Linked DNA regions of Rhinolophus ferrumequinum. The protein of the gene in region 1 purifies or fractionates together with the protein of each later gene. This does not show direct contact. Links are inferred from orthologs where the notes say so. Each region holds a gene or a part of one and is shown in the gene's direction. Other genes may lie near its edges. The genes, in order: GNB5 and GNG2.

Region 1 (12,588 bases):
TTCTCAGAAAAGTACTTGAAGAATTGTATCAGGTTCCTCCTTTTGAGAAGTCACTGTTTCCCAAGTTTTATGGGAACTGACTATTCTTTGGCCTCCACACCCTCCACTCCTCCCTTTCAGAGCATAAAACATCATTTAATAAGCCTCCTTGCCTGTGGCCGGTGGGCCAAGCGCCCTTCTGCAGCACCGCATGAATCCCAACTGGCAATTCTGTTTCTGAAAGCCACAGGCAATCGGCGTGCTTCTGTAACACAGACGTTTATCTTAGCAGTGGAAATAATATATGATCACCCTAGTAGTATGTAATAATGTCTTTTCACATTATAAATGATTTAATTTAGTTCATTTAGATACACTGTATATGAAGAAATGAAAAGTAGACCTTGTAATAGTTTAATCAATAAAATGAATTCCCGTATGAATTGGGTCAGATTCTTTTAATTGCTAGGAGATTATATTTTTCTTAAGTGCACAAGTTTATGCCTTTCTCTATGGGTCATACTTACAGATGGAATCTTTATAGAGTCATTATATCTCTTAAAACGTATATAAGAATTTTTAGAGAGGAGTAAATATGCCCTAAGTCCTAGCTCAGGCGGTGTCTCCGTGGCTGCCAGAATGAGAGGATACTTTCAGAGAGTCGGCTGGGTTTCTGATCTGCACCACGGCCTTCTCCATGCTCCTTCCAGACTTCCCCTATGCCCTGAGGAGCCCATCACCCTTACTTTTCGGCTACCATAGCTCCAGGTTCTCGCCCTGGGTGAGCTTACCTGGCCAGCACTTACCCTGGGCTGTAAATCAGTCATGTTCCCCATTTCCCCCACTGGCCTGTGAGATTCTGGAGAGCAGGTCCACATCTCACTCATCCCTGCCTTCATCTCGATGGATGTTGGCCAGGTGGAGAGAAGTGCAGGAGCCCGGTACTATTGAGGGGGCAGGGTTTGGGAAGAGGAGGCGGGGGGGGGGGGGGGGGGAGTGGGGGGGGGTTGTTGGTCAGCATTGGGAAGGAGTGGATCTTGTTTGGGGACAAGACAAGGGGACCTGCAGAAGCTAAGAAACGTATGCATGGAGAAGGGGTAGTGGGGGTTCTCTCTACATGGGGTAGTGGGGGTTACAGTGTTGATCAGTGCTACAAAGCTGAAGGTGGGCACGGTGGCCAACATTAAAGAGGTGCGGGTGAATTGAGGACAGTGAGAAGGTGGGAGGTGCCAATAACCTCCAGTCACAGGTGAACAGAACATCAGGATTGCTCGGTGGAGCAGGGTGTGGATTCACAGGCAAACCTCTGAACTCTGCCTCCCACTGAGGGCAGAGAATTGAGCTCAAGAAACTGGCCCACAGGGGTTCTGAGGGCACCTGGCAGCACAGATGGGCAGAAGGTTCAAGGGGTAAGTGACGCAAAGCGCAGTGAGTGCCCCAGCAGTGAACACGGAGCTGCAGGGTGGCAGGGATGAAGCAGCCGCGCTGTAATGCCCAGATAAGGAGATTAGACAGGATGCAATCAGTCCCTTTCCCACCGTCACCTTCCAACTGCAGCTCTAACTTCTCGCCTTTCTGCTGATCAGTTCCAAGTGTTGAGTCTGTGGAAGGTATGGATGTGTTAACATTAAATTAATACTCAGGCTTTCTGAAATGCCCAGGTAAGTGTTCAGATGTGTACATACCAAGGAAGAAGCTGTTTTGTTTTTAAAATATGTTTAGTATTGGCATTAGGGAATAAGTTAAGCATCTTGAAATCATTTAATCAGTTTTAAAAATTGATCCAGGTAACACTTTACATGTCAACATAAGCCTCCAAGTGCAGTTTACTGACTTGAAAGAGGTTTTTGACGTAAATATTATATAGTCATAATAAGTTTGGGAGATAAAGCCACACTGTCATGTGTATCAGTGGTTTATTCTTTTTTATTGCACGAACATATCACAATGTATCTAGTCTACTGTTGGTAAACATTTGGGTTTTTCCAGTTTAGAGCTATTATGAATAAAGCTGCTATGACATTCGTTTTTTGTTTTGTTTTTGTTTTTTGTTTGTTTGTTTTTTACCAATTTATACCCCTCCAGCAAGGAACGAGGTCCAGTTCTTCACATCCTCGCCCACACTTCAGATTGTTAGTCTTTTCCATTTTAGGTATACTGGTGGGTAAGTAGTGATACCACAGTGTGATTTTAATTTGCTTTTCTTTGATGACTAATGATGTTGAGCACCTTTTTATGTTTATTGACTACAAGAATATCTGTATTTGTGAAGTGTCTCAATAAGTCTTTTACCCATTTAAAAATAATTTTTATTGAGATATAATACACATAAAACTCACCATTTTAAAGCTTACATTTCAGTGGTTTTTAGTATATTCACAAGGATGTGAATTATCTAATTCCAGAGCATTTCCATAACCCCAAAAAAGAAACCCCATACCCATTAAGCAGTGTTCCCAACCCCACACCCCATTTCCCCCTGCCCTCCCCCTCCCAACCTCTAATCTACTCTCTGTCTCTGTGGATTTGCCTATCCTGGACATTTCATATAAATGGAAACATAACTTGTAGCCTTTTGTGTCTAGCTTATTTCACTTAACATAATGTTTTCAGGGTTCATCCATATTGTAACATATACATATACATATGTTGTAACAACATTGTAACAAGAACTTCATTCTTTTTTTATTGCCAAATAACATTCTACTGTATGGATGTAACACGTTTTATTTATCTGTTCATCAGTTGATGGACATTTAAATTGTTTCCACTTTTTGGCTTAAATACTGCTACAAACATTTGTGTATAAGTTTTATCTTGGGTATATGCCTAGATAAACCCAAGTGGATTTGCTGGGTCATATGGTAACAACTCTGTTTACTGCCAAACTGTTTTCCACAGCTGCTGCACCGTTTTACATTCCCACCAGCAAAGTTCTTTTGCTCATTTTTAATTGGGTTAATGAAGCATTATTTTAAAAGTAAAAACTGGAGATACTCTATATATCTAAAAATAGGAGATTTGTTTAATAAATTATGATACTCCATAGTATAGAATAATACTAAAGTTATGACCAAAAGAAAAAAAAACAGCTCTATAAGTGCTAACAGAATAAGGTAGGAGAAAAAAACAAGTCGCTAACAGCCCCAATTATATAATTAACAAAGCTGTATCTATGGTGTCAGAAAATATGGAAGAATATGAACCAAACTAAATAAGGAGAGTAGATGCGGAACAGGTAACGGGGACTTTTCCCTTTTGACTTTCTATATTTGGCATTGACTCTTTTAAAAATAAATATGGGGTGGTGGGTTTTTTGGTAATTTTTAACCATATATTTAGGTGAAACATTTCAAATAAATTTTGTGTTTGGTGCAGGGTAAGCAGAAGGTTTGAGAAGTTCTACAAACTTCTGCAGAGCAGCTTTGTGTAAAAACTTATTAAACTGAGGCATTTTTATCTTTTTCTTGTCAAAATGCTTATTGAAGTATTTGCTCTGTAAAAAGTTCCCTCGTCATAAAGAGGATTATTGACAATAAGTACAATAGAATGGTCTAAAATGAAATTTTGCTCATGATATAAATATTAAATGGAAAATATCTGGATGAAAAGATATAAGAGTATACATGAACAGTGTAACTGCAATGGTCCTAAAAATCTTGCATGTGCCAAAATGTGAAAAGGAGTCTCTGTGGGCAGGGATCATAGGTGATTCTTTTCTTCCTTATACCTTTTTCATTTTTCCAGACTATTTACCATGACCATAACATTTATGGTTGTAAAATGCTATAATCTTTCAAATTTGGTTTGTAGCTTGCCCATGTGTAACCAACCAGATCTAAAATGTGATATGATTCAAGGTTGATATGACTCAAAACTTGTGGTCTCCATTAAAAAATGGTGTTTTCCAAGAATATGCAATGACATGTGAAGAAGAAAACACTGTTAAGCAAAATACTAAAGTTCAAAATTGTATATGGCATATAATTCCAATTTTTTAAAAAACATATACATATATGCCTATAAAGATGTGAGAAGAAGACACAAAATGCTAACAGAGGTCAATTATTTGTTAGTATAGGGCATGTGGGTGATTAATTTTCCTTCTTTGTGTCTTTCTGTTTCTAATCATTTATAATGAAAACATGTACAGCTCTTATAATTTGAAAAAAAATTTTAATTCAGTCTGGGAATGAAAACATTGTCTCTATCCAGATTTGGAATATTAGCAATTTTTTCAGCTTCTCTTTCTCTTGATCTCCTACAACTCCCAGCCATCCTTCTGTTCCTTCCCCACTGGTTCCCTCAGTTCCTCTCGCCTTCTATTCCTGCAGCTGCTACTCTGTCCAGAGCTCATTTCCTCTTCCACACAATGTGATAATAATCTCTTAACCTAGCTGATTTTCCTGCTGTACAGTCTGTCTCTGACCTACTTCTAGAAGCACAAATGCTGGAATAATCCACTTAAATGACGTGGCTCCCTTGCTAAAAAACCCATGGCTCACTTTCCTAATGCGATTACTTGGAGTCTTCAGCACAACCTTGTGACTGGCTGCCTGGGCAGGCTCGGGCAGTGGGAGGCAACATTACTGGACCTCTACCACGGGCCAGGCTCTAGTGGACCAGCTCTTTTGTGTTCTTGAACTCAGTTGTGACAAAACAGAGCAGCTTGGTGGTGCTGGCTCCACAGTAGGGGTTGTGGAGTCCCACTGCATACAGAGTCAGGCTCCACCGCTGACCTTGAACTCATTGAATCCCTTGGACAGCATTTCCTTAGCTGTCACACAGATGTCCTGCCTCCCTCTCAGGGTGGTTGTGAGAGGTCAGAGCTGATCGCTTCTGCTCTCTCACCTACAAGGGACTGTCCTCTATTCCTTTGTTACCTAGCGTTCTCAAGAACTATGCCAGCTGCCCCTTCGCTGGAGGAGTTCACCCAATTCATGATCTTCACATTCTCCCTGCAGCCCCACTGTGACCTCAGCATGACAGATATTCCCCTCAGCGGAATACCTGCCTTACAAATACATCCTGCCTTACAAATACATCCTTGAAAATGTGGCTCTGTTGAAATATACAAATCAGTGCCCCCAAATATCTTTATACTCAGGAAGTCATTTCTTTAAACCTTGACGTGGCCCACTCTTTGAAACACCTATTCAATTGGCACGTCTACGATGGCCACTCCCTTCCACCTTCACCTCCTCGTCTTCCATCTCCAGCAATGGCACCTGACCCCTCAGCCTCCCGAACAGAAACCTAGGAGATACCATAGACATCTCCCTCTCGTCTCCACATGTCTCCGAGTCCAGCTCCTTCTCCTTCCTAAGTGTGGTCCACATCCATCCCACACCAATGCTTAGTTCAGGCCTTCCTTGCTTCTTGCCTGGAAGAAGTAGCCATAGGCTCCTCTCTGCTCTTTCCGCGTCTCCCGCTCCACCCCTCCCCTCCTTCCTGCTGCAGCTGCTACTGCTGCTGCTGCTATTACAGCCACTCACAGGGCAGCATAACATCTCTGGAGCACTCACTATATTCCGGCCTTGAGCCAAGTGCTTCATGCACTGTCTCTTAGAATTCCCCTGACAATCCTATGAAATAGATTTTTAAGATCCTCACTTGATAGATTAGCAAACGAAGATTCAGAGAGTTTGAGTAACTTGCCTAAACAGTGCGGCCAGGATCTGGCCAGCCAGAGACAGCATCCTCAGCCACAAGATGGTTTTGCTTTCTCCAGGTTACCCTTCCTTCAGTGGCCTGGGCCTGTCAACTTCCGGGTGTTAGGCAGGGACCCTGGGTCTGTGGCTGTCAAATGTTTACCAAGTAAGTGGGATGCTGCATTCCGGGCAGGGAACCAACACATTTACTCAGCCTCATGGCTTTGGTTGGGGTCAGGTTCCACCATTTTCTGACTCTTGTCTTTACTCCAAAATTTCACCCTGATGAGAGGAGTTTTTTGTTTTTTAATTATACTGTTCATTACAAAGATGCTTTCTGTTTTGAAGCCCCACAGGTTAACACTGTGCTGCAAAAATCCAGGTGTCCTTGTCTGCAAGCTGCCAAAACAACTGGTTAACTGTAAGTTCAGAAAACCTATTGTCTGACGCTTTCTTGCTGATTAAATAAATGAGTTGGTGTTGACCCAGCATGTTGTAATAAATCAAAGTTTACAAATTAACTGCATATACTTTATCCTACATGTAGAGGTCTGAGCAACTACCATGATAACAGGAAGACGAACTTTAAAAAAGCTGTTTCTGTTGGTTTTTCTCACACACTTACATCCCTTTTTTCTCTCTCTTTTCCAGCTTCATCTTGGGTAAAAGATGTGTGATCAGACGTTTCTAGTTAATGTATTTGGCTCCTGTGACAAATGTTTCAAGCAAAGGGCTCTGAGACCAGTTTTCAAGAAATCTCAACAGCTCAGCTACTGTTCAATATGTGCAGAAATTGTAAGTGCCACTTTTTAAAAATTCAAGTGGTTGCCTGTCTTAAAATGATGTCTCATGTGAGGGTCCAGTGACGGATAAGTTGTTATAGAAGCAGTTTACACACACAAACGTTTTCAGCGCAGCTGGACTAGGTGAGGCAGTATAGCATGGGTGGGGGGTTAGGGTGTGAACTCTGATCTCTGACTTCCTGGGTTCAAATCCTAGTTCTATTCCCCCGTGTGCCAAGCGGGGGGCGCCGAGGGGGCGCTGTGCCCGCAGGCGACGCCCGCGGGGAGGTGGGGTCGGCCCAGCAGCCGGGCTCGCAGCCACCCGCGTCAGCGCCGGAGGGCGGGGCCGCGCGCGGAGGAGACCGGCTGGAGCTGCGCCTGTGGCCGCCCGGCCTCCTCCCGCAGCTCACCCGCATCCCGGCTCTCGGCTTCCTTCCCTGCCGCGTCCCCGCGCGAAGATGGCCACGGACGGGCTGCATGAGAACGAGACGTTGGCGTCGCTGAAGAGCGAGGCCGAGAGCCTCAAGGGCAAACTGGAGGAGGAGCGGGCCAAACTGCACGACGTGGAGCGTGAGTGCGGGCCGGGGCGGGGGCTGCGCGCGGGGAGGCGGGCCGAGGAGACGAGACCGGGCTCCCGGGATCTGGGCTGCGGGCGGCCTGGGCCCGGGGCGGGATGCGGGCCTCGGGTGTCCCGGCTCCAGGTGAGGCGCTGGGAGTAGCCCGAGCACCCAGGCGCGCCCGTGTGGGGCAGGAGCTGGGCGGCCCTCGCAGGCTCCCGGCACCTTACAGAGCCGCCTCTGGGCCGGGGCACCTGATGGTAGCAGCCCCTGGACGCTGGCCTCCCAAGGAAGGATCGGGGACCAGTTACGGTCATCACCTGCCTGCAAGATGCAAACTGATCGAATTCTTGCCATTCCCAGGCGGAGCCGGTGGAGGGGGGTGTCAGTGGTGGCAAGCACAGCGAGCCCTTGTGGGCGCGGCCTAGGGTAAACTGTCTTGTTTTTTCATTATTTGGCTTTCTCCATCACTGTTGTGTCTTTTCTCAGTTTTGCTTTTACATGGAACCAGACACTGATTTTAGAGCTCGTTATTCCAATCTGCCCACTCTCCTTGGAGGTGGAGAGCCGGAGGGGGGAAGCAGAGGAGCTTACCACATCCAACCATTTAGTTCACTTAAGGTTGTTTGAAAAGCTTTTGGATGGATGCCGTATGGTTAGCATCAGAGACTAATAGCAGTCTTACACAAACGTCATTATTGACCACGACCATAATTCAGAACAGGCTCTCTGATACTTTTTTTTTTTATGAGTGAGCCATTAAATAGCCAGGTGAAATGACTCTTGGCAGGATCAGCTCCCCTGTTCTGTGTCCAGTGGTTCATCCTCAGCAGAGATTGGGCTGGGGCCAAGCTTGGGGAAGTGGTCTTATCTGCTTACGTTTCAGCTCTAAGGGTGGCAGCTCCCCTTTGCTGAGCAAGGCCTCCCGTTGGTGCCCTCAGACACACCTTTTCATGGTGCTCCTGCCGTTCCTATTTGGTACCACCCCCCCTTTAAATTCTATTTGGAAAAGAAAAATGGGGTTCATGCTAGGTCCTTTAGTACCTGATTCCTTTCTTTGAAAATCACTTGATAGAAGCAGGTGACCTGATTCTAAAGTATGCTGTGCTTTCGAAGGGGCCTCTTTTAAATAGGAAGCACACTAAGCCCCTATGTCATTTAGAAACATGTCCAGCTACAAAAAACCATAAACCCCTAATAAAATAGTTAAGCAAATTGGGAGTTATTTTTCGTACATAACAAGAACAAGGGTAGGCGTCACCGCTTTGGTTCAGCTGCCTTCAGGGACCCACACTTCTGTCTGTCTTCTCCACCACCCTGAGAGCAGTGGCATTTGCCCCACAATTATCATATCACTGCCACAGCTCTAAACATCACCCCTCTATCCAGGGCAGAAAGAAGGTGGAATGTGGGTACCAACCTCTGTTTCTCCCTTTTATCAGGAAAGCAGTTTCCCCCTAAACCTCATTTCTCCCCAACAGGTTTTTGCTTACACTTCATTGACCAGAACTAGGTCACGTGGCTACTGCAAGGGGAGGCTGGAAAAGGGAGGACTGAGCTGAGCATATTGTCATCCCCAAGCAGAGCTGGGTTTCTGTTATCAGGGGAGAAGCAAGGAATGGAGATTGGGAGGCATAGGACAGAGTCTTCCCCATTTCCCTTTGCAAATTCCTACACTCTGCAGATGGTAACGATGATGCAATGAGTGTGCTTTTAGTGCCTCTGGGGTAGGTCTGATTTCTCCATTTTACAGATGAGGAAACTGAGGCACAGAGGTCACAGGGCTTTCGGAAAGACCCCAGATAATAAGTGGTGGGATCAGGATTCCAGCGCAAGCAGTCAGTACTCCAACCCAACCTCACTTCAGCTTCATGCCTGGTCCAGAGGGGCTCTCCAGAGGGACACTCAGTAGTGCCCACTGGGATACTTTTCAGCCTTTTCTGTGCATTTGCATTCTGTGCATTTGCAAATTGCTTTAAGGCAGAGAAATAGTCAAGATGCAGTTTTTTCAACAAGGAGTCCCTGTCCTGCCAAGAATGCAGTGCCCTCAAAGGTCACGGCCAACTTTGGACTCACAGTAAGAGGATCTATCCTCACCTGCGTATGAGTCAGAATTTTTGAGTTGAAAAGACCAGAAGTCATGTGGTCATGTTCCCGTCTATGCCCCCTGAAGCTTCCAGACCACTCGCTACTCCTACATAAAACCCTGGCTCTTCTGAGGCTCCTGTCATTTGGCTGCCATCCCTCTTCTCCTCCCCCACGAGCTGTCTTCTGACCTCCCAGCCAGGCCCCCTCATTTCTTAAGGACGTTAGCACATGGCTTGAGCCTTCCTTTTGACCCTAAGCCCTGGTGTCTTCAGGGTTCACAGGGGTGACCCTCCAAACACACTGGCCCCTCACTCTGTGACAGCCCCCTAGGATCTTGTTAGCACTCAGAACTGCTCCTCGTCTGACCACAGTCTCTCCCTTTGGAGATCTCCGTGATCTAGCATCATTTGGCTCTTCTCTCTTCCAATCTCTCAGCTTCTTTCTATACATGTTCACATTTTGGTGGTGTTATATAGGTGGCTCTGTGACCCCTACCCCAGTTGGGGAAACCTCTTTAGATCATAAGCTTAAAGTGACCAAGTTATCCCAGTTTGCCTGGGACTCAGTAGTAAAGCAGATATTCCTGCATCCTGGAAAACACTTCAGTTCTGGGCAAACCGGGAAAGTTGGTCAGCCTTCTGTTAGCTCTGACTTGCCCAAATTCTTGGCTTAAAAAATAATCAACACGGGGCCAGCCCGGTGGCTCAGGCGGTTGGAGCTCCGTGCTCCTAACTCCAAAGCCTGCTGGTTCGATTCCCACATGGGCCAGTGGGCTCTCAACCACAAGGTTGCCGGTTCAACTCCTTGAATCCCGCAAGGGATGGTGGGCAGCGCCCCTGCAACTAACAACTGCATCTGGACCTGGAGCTGAGCTGCGCCATCTACAACTACGATTGAAAGAACAACAACATTGACTTGGAAAAAGGCCTGGAAGTACACACTGTTCCCCAATAAAGTCCTGTTCCCCTTCCCCAATAAAAAATCTTTAAAAAAAAAAAATCAACACAACAAAATTGTACAACATGAACTTGGAGGAAAAGTGAACTTTCCCCAATTCCAGACCCTCGTTTCTTCACCTTCCATCCCTTTGACCCTCAGACAGCAGCCATTCTGTGGGGCCCTCATGCCCAAGTCAGACCCTCCTCAGCCAATATTACATACAGGAAGTGGCTTATGTGGGCAGCCTAAAGGGAAGCCAGCCTCCATCAAACTCCACAGCCCTAGGACCCATGTCCCCGTCTCTGCCTTTCCCTTATTCCTGCAGAGCTTCCTGCCCTGGATGTTTCTCCTTATCCCTTCAGCTTGCCTTCTGCCATTTGTAAGTGCTTCCTTGCTTGAGTCTAAGGCATTTTGGAATCATGAGGTTAAATTTTGTATTAGTTTCCTATTGCTGTTGTACACATTTCCACAAACATAGTGGGTTAAAGTAACCTAAATTTGTTCGGTTACAGTTCTGGGGGTCAGAAGTCTAAAATGGGCCGCCAGGCTGCATTCCTCCTGGGGCGCTAGGGGAGAATCCATTCCTTGTCTTTTCAGCTTCTAAAGACCATCTGCATTCCTTGGCTTGTGGCCCCACATCACTCCAACCTGGTTTCTGTCATCGTATCTCCTTCTTTGACCCCGACCCCCCCTTTTTTTTAATTTATTGGGGTGACAATTGTTAGTAAAGTTACATAGATTTCAGGTGTACAGGTCTGTAATACATCATCTATAAATCACATTGTGTGTTCACCACCCAGAGTCAGTTCTCCTTCACCATATATTTGATCCCCCTTACCCTCATGTCCCACCCCCCGCCCCCTTTACCCTCTGGTAACCACTAAACTATTGTCTGTGTCTATGAGTTTTTGTTTCTCATTTGTTCGTCTTGTTCTTTTGTTGTTTTTGGTTTATATACCACATATCAGTGAAATCATATGGTTCTCTGCTTTTTCTGTCTGACTTATTTTGCTTAGCATTATACTCTCAAGATCCATCCATGTTGTCACAAATATTCCTGTATCATCTTTTCTTAACGCCGAATAGTATTCCATTGTGTATATATACCACAACTTCTTTATCCATTCATCTATCAAAGGACATTTTGGTTGTTTCCATGTCTTGGCCCCCGTAAACAAAGCTGCAATGAACATTGGAGCACACGTGTCTTTATGTGTAGATGTTTTCAGATTTTTTGGGTAGATACCCAGGAGAGGGATTGCTGGGTCATATGGTAATTCTATTCGTAATTTTTTGAGGAACCTCCACACTTCCATAACGGCTGCACCAGTCTGCATTCCCACCAATAGTGTATGAGGGTTCCGTTTTCTCCACAGCCTCCCAACACTTGTTACTATTTGTCTTGTTGATGATAAGCATTCTAACTGGGGTGAGGTGATATTTCATTGTGGTTTTTATTTGCATTTCTCTGATGATTAGTGATGTTGAGCATTTTTTCATATGTCTGTTTGCCATTCTTAAGTCCTCTTTGGAGAAATGTCTCTTCAGGTCCTCTGCCCATTTTTCAATTGGGTTGTTTGTTTTTTTGTTGTTGAGTTTCATGAGTTCCTTGTATATTTTGGATATTAGCCCTTTACCCGATCCCCCCTTTTATAAGGATCCTGTGATTCCATTGGGCTCACCTGTAGAATCCAAAATAATTTTTCCATACCAAGATCCTTAATCACATCTGCAAGCTCCCTTTTACCCCATAAGGTCACATATTCACAGGTTCCAGGGATTAGGATGTGAACATCTTTGGAGGGCCTGTCACACAACCCTTTAAACTAGAGGGGTCACCTGCTTCATCCTCAGTCTTCAGGCACAAAAAGTTTTCTTCTCCTCCCAATAACCCCACCCCCTGTCCTTATGGATGAGAAAGCAGCTGAGGTCTAGGGAAGGTTGAGGAGATTTCCCTAAGGTAATGCAGCTGCTCTAAGAGGCAAAGGGGAGTAGGTGCCAGGGTTCAGACTCCTAGTACAGCTTTCCTTCTCACCATACCAGGCCATCTTTCAGAAAGTTGAGATTTACTAAAAAGGAAAAAAAAAAGTAAATCCACGTGTATATGTGAAAAGGTGTCAATATTTTGGGAAAAAAACAGCAAAATGCTGGACAGTGTATATAACATGATCTCATTAGCTTAAACAAGAGATGCTTGCGTATGCATTAAGTTTGTGGCAGGGTACATGAGAAACTGATCTCTAGAGAGGGCCCCCAGGGAGTGGGAGAAGTAGAGGTTCTTTTCCCTTTATACCCATGTGTGCATTTACTGCTTTTATAATAAAGAATGAGTACTGGAATGGGAGTCAAGATCAAGACAAAAAGGAGAGAATTCATCTATAAAGAGTCCTTCACTTGAAGTGAATCTGACAAATGACTCAGAAGACAGGCTAGCAGCAGAGCAGGACGGACACCAGGTTGATTTCAGCCAATGTGGATGGCAGCCTCCTGGGGCTGTGTGGAGCTTCATCCAGCTCGCCAGCTCCTCTGGGGCACATTGTAATATTGTCTAGGAACAAAGCAACTCAGAAGATTTATGTAATTTCTCTAAGT
Region 2 (12,781 bases), about 15 Mb from region 1:
AGTGTTTCCATTTTGGCACTTATGTAAGTCTGTCACCACTTTTATTCCAGCGAGAGGCTGCCAGACATACAATGACATTGCATTGGGGTCATTAGGCAACATCAAATGGACATCAGACCAAAGCAGAAATGGAGACAACTGCCATCTTGGGCAGCTTTGTTATGCCTGAAGAAATATTGATAGAGAAATACTGACCACAGTAACCATAGCTCCTGCTTTGATCCTTTCTTCCCGAATCTTCTTGAAGGATCCTTCCTGCTGAGGGTGCCCAGGTGGAGAATGGATTAGAATCAGTGCAAATTGTTTTGGCAAGAGGTTTGGTAACTCTTCTTGGGTACTAACCCCCTGTGTAACATTATCTGATAGTAACGAAATGTCAGCAGTTTTTATCTATTCAAAGCTTTAAATAGACCTCATGAGTAATGTGCTTCAGGTGCTTATCACTAATTAATTAATTCATTTGTAAGTGAAATACCTAATTAAAGCAGTCTAAGGGAGCTCCTCGGTGGCCCTGATCTGGTGGGTCCAGTAACAGAGAGATCTTGGGTGATGAAACTTATCGGACATATTCCCATGGGCTAGTTAGGTTGAGCATATTTTATTTGAAGAGTACTTCTTGTTGTTGTTGTGGTTTAAGTGTAATACAGATTTGAACTGGTCTTTAATATTGACCAGAGTCACTCACATATTCATACCTTTGGAAGAAACCTGAAGATTATATGGTTGAGATCTCTCTTGATAAAACAGGGAAAATGGACAACAGATACACATAACCTGGTATCACACCTTACTGCCATCAGGAAACCCAAAGAGCCTGTCACTTCATGAATTTTCCCTTGGGTTTAACTGCAGGGACATTTCTTTCTACTTATGAGTTTATTTTGCCTTCACCCTGTCAGAAAACTGTGTAACCCCATCACTGTTTTGCCTCAGCTGTTAAGAAACTTTGGCCATGTTTAGAGCTCAAATATACCAACCAGTTCAATTATCTGTTCCCTATACTCCCTCTCATCTCCTTTGTTCTTCTCTTAGAATAAGGGCATCATCCTTAAAGGAAAAGAGCCTTGTAAAGACAATTACCTAGCTGTGGATAAAAATGGCAATTTTGGGTTGAGAAATTCATGTTTTATGATATTGTGCCTCTGCTCTGTTAGGAAGGAAAAGGATGCATTTGAGTGTAAAATTATGACTGCCTGATAATATAGTGTTTTGTTCCTTTTAAACTGCTACTGCCTCAAATACAATGAATACAACAGAGCATAAATGAATTCACAAAAGACACCTAAGCTGTCAGGATATGGGAGGGATTTAGAAAGGCAGCAGGTAAACAAAATGAACTCGGGATAAATGGACAATTAGGGGAAAATGGATAAATGTGATACATTAGGAGCCACCAGTTCCCTTCTGCAGTAGACTTGTCAATATGGGGTCGGGTCGGGCTCACACCACCTTTCAAACAAACCCCAATCCTTGCTGGCAGCTGTCCTCCAATCAGAGTTAACGTGTAGTTTTATTTTATAAAACAACCTTCCTCTATGAATTTTAAGCCCTTAAAATAATTTGCCCACAATAGAAAATTGATATTTTTCTAAAATTGTTTGTGACAAAATGCTATTTGAAAAAAAACAAGTAGCATAACATTGCTCTAAACTAGTTCTTTGAAAGGAGCACATATTTAGCAGGAAATAATCATTTTGACCTACATATATGAATTCAGGGTCACGTGTTTAGAACTTTGCAAAGAGATGTTGTAATCTTTTCTCAGGCAGAAACTCACTGCAGAATACCACATCTGGGCTTTTTCATTGTCTTGGAAGTGTGGCAGTAGGTGATAGGTGATGACAATATTTATAGTAAGATACACCTATAATTATTGTCATTTTCTGGTACAGATACATTTGCATTAGAAATACAAAAGATATAGTGGGACTAAAAGATTATAAAAGTCCACCTCAAAGGGAAATTTCTTGAGAACAGGACCTCTTTCTCTTTATTTCTTTGTCCGCTATTGTTCAACATACTATATAGATAGGTGCCAAATGATTAAAGAACAATTGATTTAATTAATGAAATTTATGCATCATTCTATCTACATAATCATTTTATTTCTGTATGAAATTTCTTTGTGTTGACTGGTAGCGAATATTGTCTAAAGAAGGGCTAATTTTAGATGAAAAGCCATATTTTAAATCTATTATTATTTTTGCCAGAAGAAAATACAAATTGAGTGGGTGCTGGAACGTATCCATTATTTGCCCCCTGGAGATAAATGGAGTAGTTGAGAATTGTGCACCGTTGGCAGAATATGGTGGGAAATTTGCACATTGACTTCCCACAAGGACCTATTCTGCGCTGTTATTTCATATTTCAGTCTCTTGGATGCCAATGTTATAACATCTTAAAATGCTAAAATTTCATCACCAAAATAATTCTGGAAAAGAAAATGGAAATTAATCAGATTAAACAGTCTCCAGGGAGATCAGGGTCTGTAGCTGGTGCATCTTCATCTGTGGCCAGTGAGAAGTGAGGAAGCCCAGGGAAGCGCAAGGAGACCTAGCTGGGTGTGGTCGGGACAGTGCCGGCTGCCATGGACCACACCCAGATGGCTGTAGGTATCCCAGGGATGCAATGCGATGGACAGGGGACGTCATGTAGTGAATAGTGTCAGGGTTCCAGGACCATCTGGCAGCTTTGAAACTACCTCCCATCTAACAGCATGTAAGATTCAGGGAGAAAGTCCTGGGCAGTGGGGGTTAAGGCCTGGCAGAAGACCTGGCCAGTGGGCAGAATGCAGGGTACATTACCTGGGTGCCAGGTGTTCTGAGCTCCCTAGCTATATGGCTTAAGAAGCAAAATCTATTTCAGAACTCCCCCATTGCTGGATCTGATTTTAAATACACTGCCAGGCTTGTTCAGGGCTGGCTTAAGTACTGGGTAGGCAAAGCCTGCTAAAAGTAAGACCGTGGCTTGAGAGGGAGAAGTGAAGCCCAGGAAAGACATGGCCTAATGGATTTTCCCCTAAACCTCTGGTAGCCCTTACGCATGTGAATGCATCTCCGGCTAATAGCCTCACCCTTTCAAAATGATGTCTCATTTCTGAAATTTCTTTCATCAAAGTAAAGATAGTCTTCAAATGCTCTGGAGTAAAAATACCCAGTCATCATTATCTCAGTTCCCAGTGAAACCAGCCACTGCTGGGAAGATTAATAAAGAAGGAGCAATTTTCCATAGATGCACTTGCTGAGCTTGAGTAGGAAAGAAAAGAAAATTGCATCCCATTTGTCAGATGGGACTGGCTTCCTTCATCCTGCAACGTCCTCTGAATCTCCCTGCGATATGCAACATCCTCTAGGAGATTAGAGCCAGAACATAAACTGGGTGCTGAATTTATTAGAAACATGTCTTTTTTATTACTTAACATCCAGCAAATGGTATACTTTTAAATCAGAATCTCCTCTGATTAAACGTATTTAGGATTCATCAAGGGAGTTTTTTTGTTCCCTGAAAGTAAACATCAGGCTTAAAAGAAAAATCTAAATAATCATGCTATTTACCCATGATTATTTTAATCATAAAAGCAAATCTGAATTTTTGATTATGTCCTCATCAATCATCAGACACATATTATTTTAAACTCTAACAAACAACCTCAACTCCCTCTCCATAAAAGGGAAGACTAACGCTACAGGGTAATGAGCCCGAGTGATGGGGCAAAACAGTGGGATCAAGGGGATAGAAGAGTTCCCCAAAGCATTTTTATTTGACAGTGGCAAAGATGCCTGCCAAGGTTTGGACCTCAGAAAATTTGGCTGTGGTGCCAAGATGTGGTCGTGCACATTGGCGCAGACCTGCACTGTCTCTGCAATGCACAGAGCAGTTTCCAGCTACTTCTGCTTCTCAGTTGTTCTTATGTAGACGTAAGTCCCAACAGAGAGCATTTTTTGAAATATAAATTTGACTTTATTTCCTTCATTTAAAAAAGAGAGCTCGTTTTGCAGTTTCATCTTGACAAGATGGGGCTCAGGGTTGTATCCAAATTTTAAAAATATCTATCCATCCCAACTTACACACAGGTATTTTCTACAAATAAAAAGGTACGTGTTCATCTCTGGCACGGTCCCCAGGAGAGAGCGCTTACCTTGTGTTTTGCTGGCTCTCTTTTCGATCATTTATGCCTCTCAAAATAAATAAGTAAATGAATACACTCACATCTATAGCACAAAAAGAAGATTTTCCTTGGATCCAGCTATAAAATAGACACTAAAGCAGATGGGTCACTTAGGCACAGAGTTAATGCTACTTACTTGCATCTGTTTTCTTCATTGTGAGAGAGTGAAAAGCCCAAGTGTTATTGTTTTTTCTTATACATCATCATCAAGGATATAAAATTTAGAAAACTGTTTATAATTCAGCTAGAGTGAAAACTTCGTTCATTTAAATTCCATTAATTCACAGTTCGTTTTGTTTTACATAGTGACTGCACTGACATTTAATTTTACTCAACAGACCTTTTCTTGGGGGATAATAATGCAAGTGATTATAATGCAATAATGTGTAAACAAGATTGTGAGAGAAATGTTTAAAATATTAAAAGAATAATTTGGTTTTGAACATTCTTAAGGTCTTTTGAAATAGCTCTTCACACATAAATATGTATGCCATATGTGAACATACCAAACACAAATTATTTTTTCTAGGTTATCAAGGAGGTCCCCAAAGAAGTGTCTTGCAGCAAACTCTGCATACCTACTTTGAATTATTCTCAGAACTTAAAAGTAATCCACTTCCTCCCAATATATTCCATAATTTAGATGTTTTAGAGTGGTCTTCTGCTTGACAATTGAGGTGTAACATTATAGCTAGCCCCACCCTAGCGGTTCCTGGACCCTGAATAAAAGGTAGATTTGTAAGCCAACTAGACCTCTGCTTATTGAAACTTTGGCTGTTTGTACGTATTCTGCTCTAGTAATGGATATGGCCCAGGTAATGAGCACGGAAGAATAGATGTTTATTAAGCAAAATGGGGAGCAGTCTGAGATAATCTTTTAGCATTGTGTTGCTGACTCTTTGGTGTAACTTCATTTAACAAATATTAATTGAGTACCTACTCAATTAATTGTGTACCAGGTTCTAGGCAAATAAAACAGATATGGCCCCTCATGGAGCTTGCAGTCTACCTGTAAACACACACACAATTATATATACAATTACAAGTTGTGATACAGAAGTACCCTGAAGGATGGAAACAGGGTACCTGCCATGAGATGCAATAGGGAAGACTTACTTTGGATGGAACCGGTAAATGGGAAGGTCCAAGGATTTTGAGCTCTTAGAGTAGCATCCTTTGTATGATTCTTAGTCCTTCTTCCCTTTCATCATTTATAGACAACGGAAGATGACTAGAATACCCCAACCCTGAATTTTGTCTGTGTTGCTGCCAATATTGATCTTTCTTAATCATTTAAGACATCGTAAATGTACATGGGCCTGACAAATTGCCGTCGTTGGGGCCATGGTAATATAGGAGGCAACATGGAATAGTGAAAAGAGTACTGAGCTCCTTAGAAAAAACCTGAATTATTCTGGGTGTGGAGAGAGGGAAGGGAGAAAAGAGAACAGTATTTATACATGAATTATAGTGACCTTGGTTCTGCTCTGGATTTTCCAAGGACTAGCAAGCTATATGTCCCAAGGCAAGTCACCTAACTTCCATTGATTCTCATTCTTTTTCCTATAGAATGAGAGAATTAAGATGAAATAATTTCTGAGGTCCTTTTAGATCTATAGTCCTGAAAGGTTGTGTGGTATAGTGATAAAAAGTACAGGCTCTGGAACCAGATTGTGAGTGTTCAGAGCCCAGCTCTGTCACCTACTGGCTGTGTGACCTTGGGTAAGCTTCTTAACCTCTCTGTATATCCATTTCCCAAAATGTAATATGGGGGATAATATTAGTACCCACCACATAGTGTTGTGACAATTCAATGAATTAATTTAAGGAAAGTGCATAGAACTGTGCCTGCCTCATGGTAAGTACTTAAGAAGTGTTTCTATTATTAATAGCCTCTGAAAGGAGTTCACCTCCTTGAAAGATGGGATTCCAGTAGAGGCGGAATGCTCAAGACACTGATACAAACATATAAACAGACTAATGTGTGGGAACCGAGATTTCCATTTCCATAATTCCTACCAAACCTCCCTTTGATTCAGACATGTTTTAAAGGGACAACTTCTTATTGCTGATAAGGGGGCCACAACTATAGAATGCCTTATTTGACACCCACATGGACTCTGTTCTTTCTTAGGACACAGGCAGGTAATTAAGTCCCTGAGTATGGGTTGTGTACAGGATATTAAACTAGTGCTTGCTTCATAATGCCGTTATACCTCTGGCCAGGGCAGCAAAGCAGCAGAGATAAGTGCCATTCCCAGAGGTGCTGAGATGTGGGTTCTCTTAAGGCAACTGAGTTTTTGTTCTTTTCAAGCAATATAATGAGATACGATAAATTAAACTTGGAAGGATCTTTCAAATCATGAAAAAGTTCATTTACAAATCATAAGCATTAACTTCAGCTGACTTCTGCCTGCTGTAGAGATTTTGTTCTAACAAAGTTAATACAGAATTACGATAAGCAGCATCATTTTCTCTTCCTTTCTTAATGCATCCAAAATCTCTAAAACCGTACTAATTTCCTTGGCATTTTCTTTATAAGCGGACCACCTGGATTCAGTTAGATTATGATCAGTTTTTATTAAATGTTTAATTAATGAAGAATAAATTGAAACTTTACTATGTATCTTTTCTCTCTCTCTCTCTCTCTCTCTCTGTGTGTGTGTGTGTGTGTGTGTGTGTGTGTGTATGTGTGTTTTATCATGTTACAGCCAAGTAAGTCAAATTGTAAACTAGTCTTTCCTATATACTACTCAGATTCTGAGACGTCTGAAATAGTTTAGGAGATTTTGCTTCTTTAGGAAAAGAAAACAAACCAGGATAGTATGATGGGAAGAAAATTGCTTGTGAATCTTGTAAAATATAAGATGTAGTTTTTTAGATAAAAAGAAAAGGAGAAGGAGAAGACAAGAAATTAAGTCTATTCGGAGAACACCTAGTTCCCTGAAATATTTCTGGAGACCAGAATACTAGGCTCTCTCCTACATGTTCTTTGCCTGGATGGATCCCTTGGGGGAGAAGACCCCAAGGGCTGTCCAGCCAACCCCTCTTAGCCCTGCCAATACCACCTTCACCCCACTCCGTCAGCCACCAAACACTGGAGCTTTTACCTCAGAAAGTCTCTGACACTCCCCACTGCCCCTCCTTTGTCCCTAGCTGTGTAGCCTCCCCCACTGAGCTTCCTCCCATCTTCAGTTCTGTTCCTTCTCCAAAGACTGTTCAGAAGGAGCTCAGTTTTTCCTAAAGAGTAAGAAACAAAAAAGCCTTTATGTGGGGAGTCTGTTTAAGAAATAACCGACTTGTGTTTATAAAAGCCCCTTTCATTCTGTTCGTTGGTATGTGCTTCCTGAGCAGCCGCGGGTGGGATGGCTCAATGGCATCCAGTCAAAGATTGCAACTGCTAATTTCCAAGGCTGTGGTGGGGTGGAGAAGGGGAAGTGTGCGTGCGGGCCGCGCAGCCCTGCAGACGCTTCCCCCAGAGGTACAGGGTACTCAGAGCTGGCCCCAGGAGCGCGGCCTTCAGCAGGCCAACATACAACTGTGAGCAGGACAGTTCTTTCTGCCAAAAACTTTCTCTGTTGGTTTCCCGTTGTACAGGCGGTTTTACTTTTCGCAAAATACCGGTATTTACACATAATAACTAAGCAGAGAAAATAATAGGCATCAAATAGGAAATGGTTGGAACCTGTGTAAAGTTTCTTTCTATTGCAACAACCGTAAGCCAGGGTGTCGCATTTCCTGTTGAAAACCATCAAGAGGGTACCCAGAGTGAAGCAGAGCTATGTGGAGAGAGTTGCCTCTTGGTCTTGGAGAATTACATAAAGATCATCAAGCCTCCAGAAAATTGGAACCTGAATTGTGGAGGTAAAGAGAGGGTTGATTTAGTGATTCACAACTTTTTTTGAAGCTATGAAATCATATATAATCATATATATATATATGACTTAGATCATATATATATATGTATATGATATAGAGGGTGTCAAAAAATGTATACACATTTTAAGAAAGGAAAAAACTATTAAAATTGTAATAATATATACCGATAACAAAAGATGAATACAAGTCGCGTTTAACTTCTGCAATTATAAGAGGTGCTCAAAGTGGTTACCATCGGTGTAATTTTAATACAGTTTTTTCCTCTCTTAAAATGTGTATACATTTTTCTTGGCACCCTCTGTATATATGACTTAGATTTAAATGAAAAGACGTTTGTCTGTGGGACTCTAAATGGACTCACAGCACCTCTTTAAACAGAGAATGCTACCATGTACCAGGATTAAGATGGTAAAATTTCACTCTAGTTTTAAATATTTTTTATATTAAAGTAAACATAGAATTAAATGTAAAATGTATTTGAATTTAAGATAAAAGTGGAGTAGAAACCAAGCTGTGACAGGAAAGGGCCGCAGATTCCCTAGGGGCATAGGTTCATTCTTCTCTCAGCCTCAGCAGACCCCCTGAGACATCTCAGCTGAAGGCTGGCCATGCAGCCCAGGGGGAAGGGGCAACAAAAATCCGAAAGATTCTCTGCTCAAAGATACCTAAGTCCCCCAGCCCCATCTTTATTGTATGATTATAAATTCATTAGCCTTTTCAGATTTCTCTTTTTAAAAGCATGTCTCTTGATAGGTTTAAGCTGTTGGTCATTCATATCTTAGCATGAATAACTTGAAACAACTAGCTTTCTGTTCTGATTGGCTTCACAGACCAAATCAGAAGTTGTGAGTTCCTAAGGTAGGGTCACTTAACAGCTGTGTGGACTAGAGCAAGCCAGTTCATCCATGTGAACCCCAGTTTCCTAATCTGAAAATAGGAATGATAGCACCTGTTTTGCCATCGTAGAACAGCTATGAAATCAAAATGGTGTAATGCAGCAAGAAGACCTGTATTAAATTATGAAGTGCTATTTAAATATCAGCTGTCACTATGAGTAATTTCAGTTGAGTTAGTAGTACATCATCATGCTTATTAATACCTATGAGTTGAGATAATTAATCAATTAAGAAGGATGGCATAAGGAGATGTAATTTTGAAATCTACCGTGTTTCCCCGAAAATAAGACCTAGCTAGACAATCAGCTCTAATGTGTCTTTTGGAACAAAAATTATATAAGACCTGGTCTTATTTTACTATGATATAAGACTGGGTCATATAATATAATATAACATAATATAATGTAATATAATACCGGGTACTATGTCAATTTTTGCTCCAAAAGATGCATTAGAGCTGATTGTCCGGCTAAGTCTTATTTTCAGGGAAACACAGTAAGACATTTAGGAAGATCAGACCTACATACGGTGGGTATTACTTCAGCAACGGACTTTGATATTTGAAAGTATTACCGGTCAGAGGAGAGACGGAAGAGGAAAGAGGTAAGTAAATGTGAGAGCAAAGTTCTGCTCAGCAGTTCAACAGAGGGACTTTGAGGTAAAAGCAGCCTCTGATGGCCCAAATTGCTATAAAGGAGAAAGTCCATAGATCAGATTCATCTTAAATTGTTAGGCAACCCCTAAGATACAGACTAGAGTTTTGAGTAAAATATTTCTCAGTGTCAGGATCTACCAAAAGTGTAAATAATTAAAGGTAAACACTGACCCTGCTGAGCTTTTAAAATATGTAATGCTCTTTCTTATCTACTTCTCGTGATGCTGCCTGTCCTCTTCACTGGTGTTCATCATCCTGATAGTAGCAGCAGTTGTTAAGCATGTACTATGTTGGGGCACTATTCTGGCACTGTACAAGAATCATCTTACTTCATTCTCACAGCAACCCTAAGAACTAGCTACTTTAATATTCCCATTTTACAGTTGACAAAACTGAGGCTGAGTATTAAAGTAAGTTGACCAGTTAGTGTACGGCAGAAGATCCAACTGAAACCAGGTAGTAAGACTTTAGAACTGGATGGATTCTGTACCTCCTTGTTGTACTTCCTCCCAACCCATGGAATGGCCATTGTAAGTAATTACAATGTTCCAAAGACAGGAAGTGCTCGGAGTCTGCTCCTCTGAACATCAGAAGATGCTCCCTTCTTTGGGGCCAGCTGCTCAAATTCCCTTATGTAAGACTTGACATTGAAGTCTTAAATGTACTTGGAGTGGTGAAGACAGAGTAGGGCCATAAAGGAAAAGGCTCCAAGGAAGTGATCAGTTGTGTTTTTGTTTTGTCTTTTTAAGCTGAATAAGGATTTGAGAAGAAGAAAGGTGTGGGGATACTGAGAACATAAAATGTCCATTTTTTAAAAAGTGATCTGCAGTATTTCGTGAGCTCTCAAATCTGTTGTTGGCCATGATGAGTTACACTGCATTGTTTTGCTGTCTTCCAAATCCCCCGAAGTCATCATTTTGACTTTATGTTTGCTTCTAATGCCAGGCTTCACCGAGGTGCATTTAAGTTTATTTGGAGAAAGTCATGAAGAACAAAGCAAAATAGTGGATTTCAGATCTTCACTTTTTAAAATATCCCTTCCCATCCAAACAAGTCAGAGAAATGATAGGTAAAAGTAGATTCATATCTAAGAAAAAAGGCAGAAGGCTTATCTCTGACTTTTGAATGAGTTTTGGACTAATTATTTTCAGGGGCGGGGGATGCAGTGGGCAGAAATGTAGACCAAAGGTTGGGGTTCCCGCACGCCCTGACAGCCCTCACATGACCACTGACATGGTTCCCTGTCTGAGATGTCTAATTTTTTGAACGATTATCTTTGTTATTCTTTACTAACTCCTTTTTAAACGTCAATAAAAAATAGACTAACATTTATAGTATCCAGGTATATTAAAGTCACCATAATACAATCTTTTTGAGAAAATACTTGGATAGAGGTGCCAGATATCTGTATTTCTCTATTTTCAGCCTCATTCATATAAAATAACTTTTCACTAGGTCCTGATCAATGAAAACTCAGTGTGTGGGCACCTTTCACCAGTCAGAAAGAGGCGGCCCGCTGAGGCAGATGCGACTATCTTGAGGCAAGTTGCCAAACACGCTTCAGTTGATTCCTTTTCTTGGGCTATTAATTAGGAGAAGAGTCTTCCCTGCTTCCTGGGCTGTGCCGCCCTTCTCAGTTTTTGTCCTCCCTGACCTTTAGCAGTCCTATCTGGTCAGATAATTCCATTTGAGTGCATAGTCAATCCTGCAACATGGTAAATAATTTTGTCTGGGATCAAATGTCTAGTGCTTATCTGGAGCTGATGTCACTTTGAATTACTATCACCATACTTCTTTTCTCTAATCCCTTTTCCCAATTTGATAGTATTAAAATTCTTCAAGTTCAGATTTTCTTTTGTAAGTCAGGGTCTCTAGTTCAATTAAGACCCACCTTCCACTGGATGAATGACAGTAAATAACATTAAACCTCCAAAATCAGTCGTGCCTGATTCTTTATGTCATTGGCTCAAATTCTGATTCCACATCCTTTAAGTTTGTCTCGATCATGTGGCCAGAGATCAAAGAAGAATTCATGTCCAAAGCTGGAGAGAACTGTTGGTATCTTTGTTTTCAGCTTCTGTTGTCAGCTTCTGTCACATGTATAAATTAAGTTCCTTTCCTTGTCACTTGAAACATTTGGTTTACCTTTAGGTCTATGACTTGAACAAACCATAGACTGTACACTGAGCACTCCCTCAGTGCTTTGCATTTGTTAACTGAGAGAAATCATTATTTTTTTGTACTTCACTGTTTTATTATTCAAGATTGAACCACAATGGCCCTTACACAGTTATTACAAAGCAAGTTCATAGTAGTGTTTATTTTGTTTTCCCAGGGGACTCTTTATGCAGCAGATTCTTTTTTTCCCTCCAGCTTTATTGAGATATAATTAGCATATAACATTGTGTAGCTTTAAGGTGAACAATGTGATGATTTAATGCATGCTATCTTGCAAAATAACCACAATAAGGTTAGTTAACACATCCGTCATCTTACCTAATTACCATTTTGTGTGTGTGTGTGTGTGTGTGTGTGTAGAACATTTAAGATGTACCCTCTCAGCAGCTTTCAAGTGTTTAATACACTATTGTTAACTATAGTCACCACGTTGTACATTAGATTCCCAAAACTTACTCATCTTATAAATGAAGTTTGTACCCTTTGACCAACATTTCCCCATTTCCCTCGCCCCCAGTCCTTAGCGGCCACCATTCTACTTGGAGAGAAATTCTTACTTAACCTAACAGATCACTATATTTCACATTAGTACTATAAACGCTTTTTTTTTTCTTTTTTATTTCTCTCTGGGGAACAAAAAAACAAAAAACAAAAAAGGTTAGGTGCCCCTCCTAGATGTTTCCTTTATACCTGGGCTTTCTCCTAGCTTAGCACACAAGACACCATGTTGAAATTGCTTATCTATGGGTCTGTCTTTACCTTTAGAGTATACACTCCTTGAAAACCGGGTTGTATCTGGTTCCCTGTTCTGTCCTTGGCTCCTAGCATGGCCTGGCACATTAAGTAGACAAACCCCAAAATCTCTTGATTATACTGAGATTTGAAAGGAGAGTAGCCACAGAGGGCTGGCAAGATTTCTGTTTAATTGCCAAGTTAGATTAAATAAGGCCACCCAGATGTTTAGGAAGAATGATCTGTTATGTAAGGAAGACTGAAAGTTTTTAA

What was found.
Region 2: the proteins of GNB5 (region 1) and GNG2 purify together in Homo sapiens (affinity purification with western blotting; 4 studies listed by BioGRID and IntAct, with this or other methods). This does not show direct contact. The link is inferred for Rhinolophus ferrumequinum from reciprocal best matches to the Homo sapiens genes GNB5 and GNG2.

The regions. Positions count from the first base shown.
Region 1 is NC_046289.1:55,793,276-55,805,863, forward strand, and holds the start of GNB5 (guanine nucleotide-binding protein subunit beta-5), read left to right. Parts: upstream 1-6,734; 5' UTR 6,735-6,870; coding exon 6,871-6,982; intron 6,983-12,588. UniProt on the Homo sapiens protein: Enhances GTPase-activating protein (GAP) activity of regulator of G protein signaling (RGS) proteins, such as RGS7 and RGS9, hence involved in the termination of the signaling initiated by the G protein coupled receptors (GPCRs) by accelerating the GTP hydrolysis on the G-alpha subunits, thereby promoting their inactivation.
Region 2 is NC_046289.1:40,617,736-40,630,516, reverse strand, and holds the start of GNG2 (guanine nucleotide-binding protein G(I)/G(S)/G(O) subunit gamma-2), read left to right. Parts: upstream 1-7,923; 5' UTR 7,924-7,949; coding exon 7,950-8,032; intron 8,033-11,053; exon of another isoform or gene 11,054-11,139; intron 11,140-12,781. UniProt on the Homo sapiens protein: Guanine nucleotide-binding proteins (G proteins) are involved as a modulator or transducer in various transmembrane signaling systems.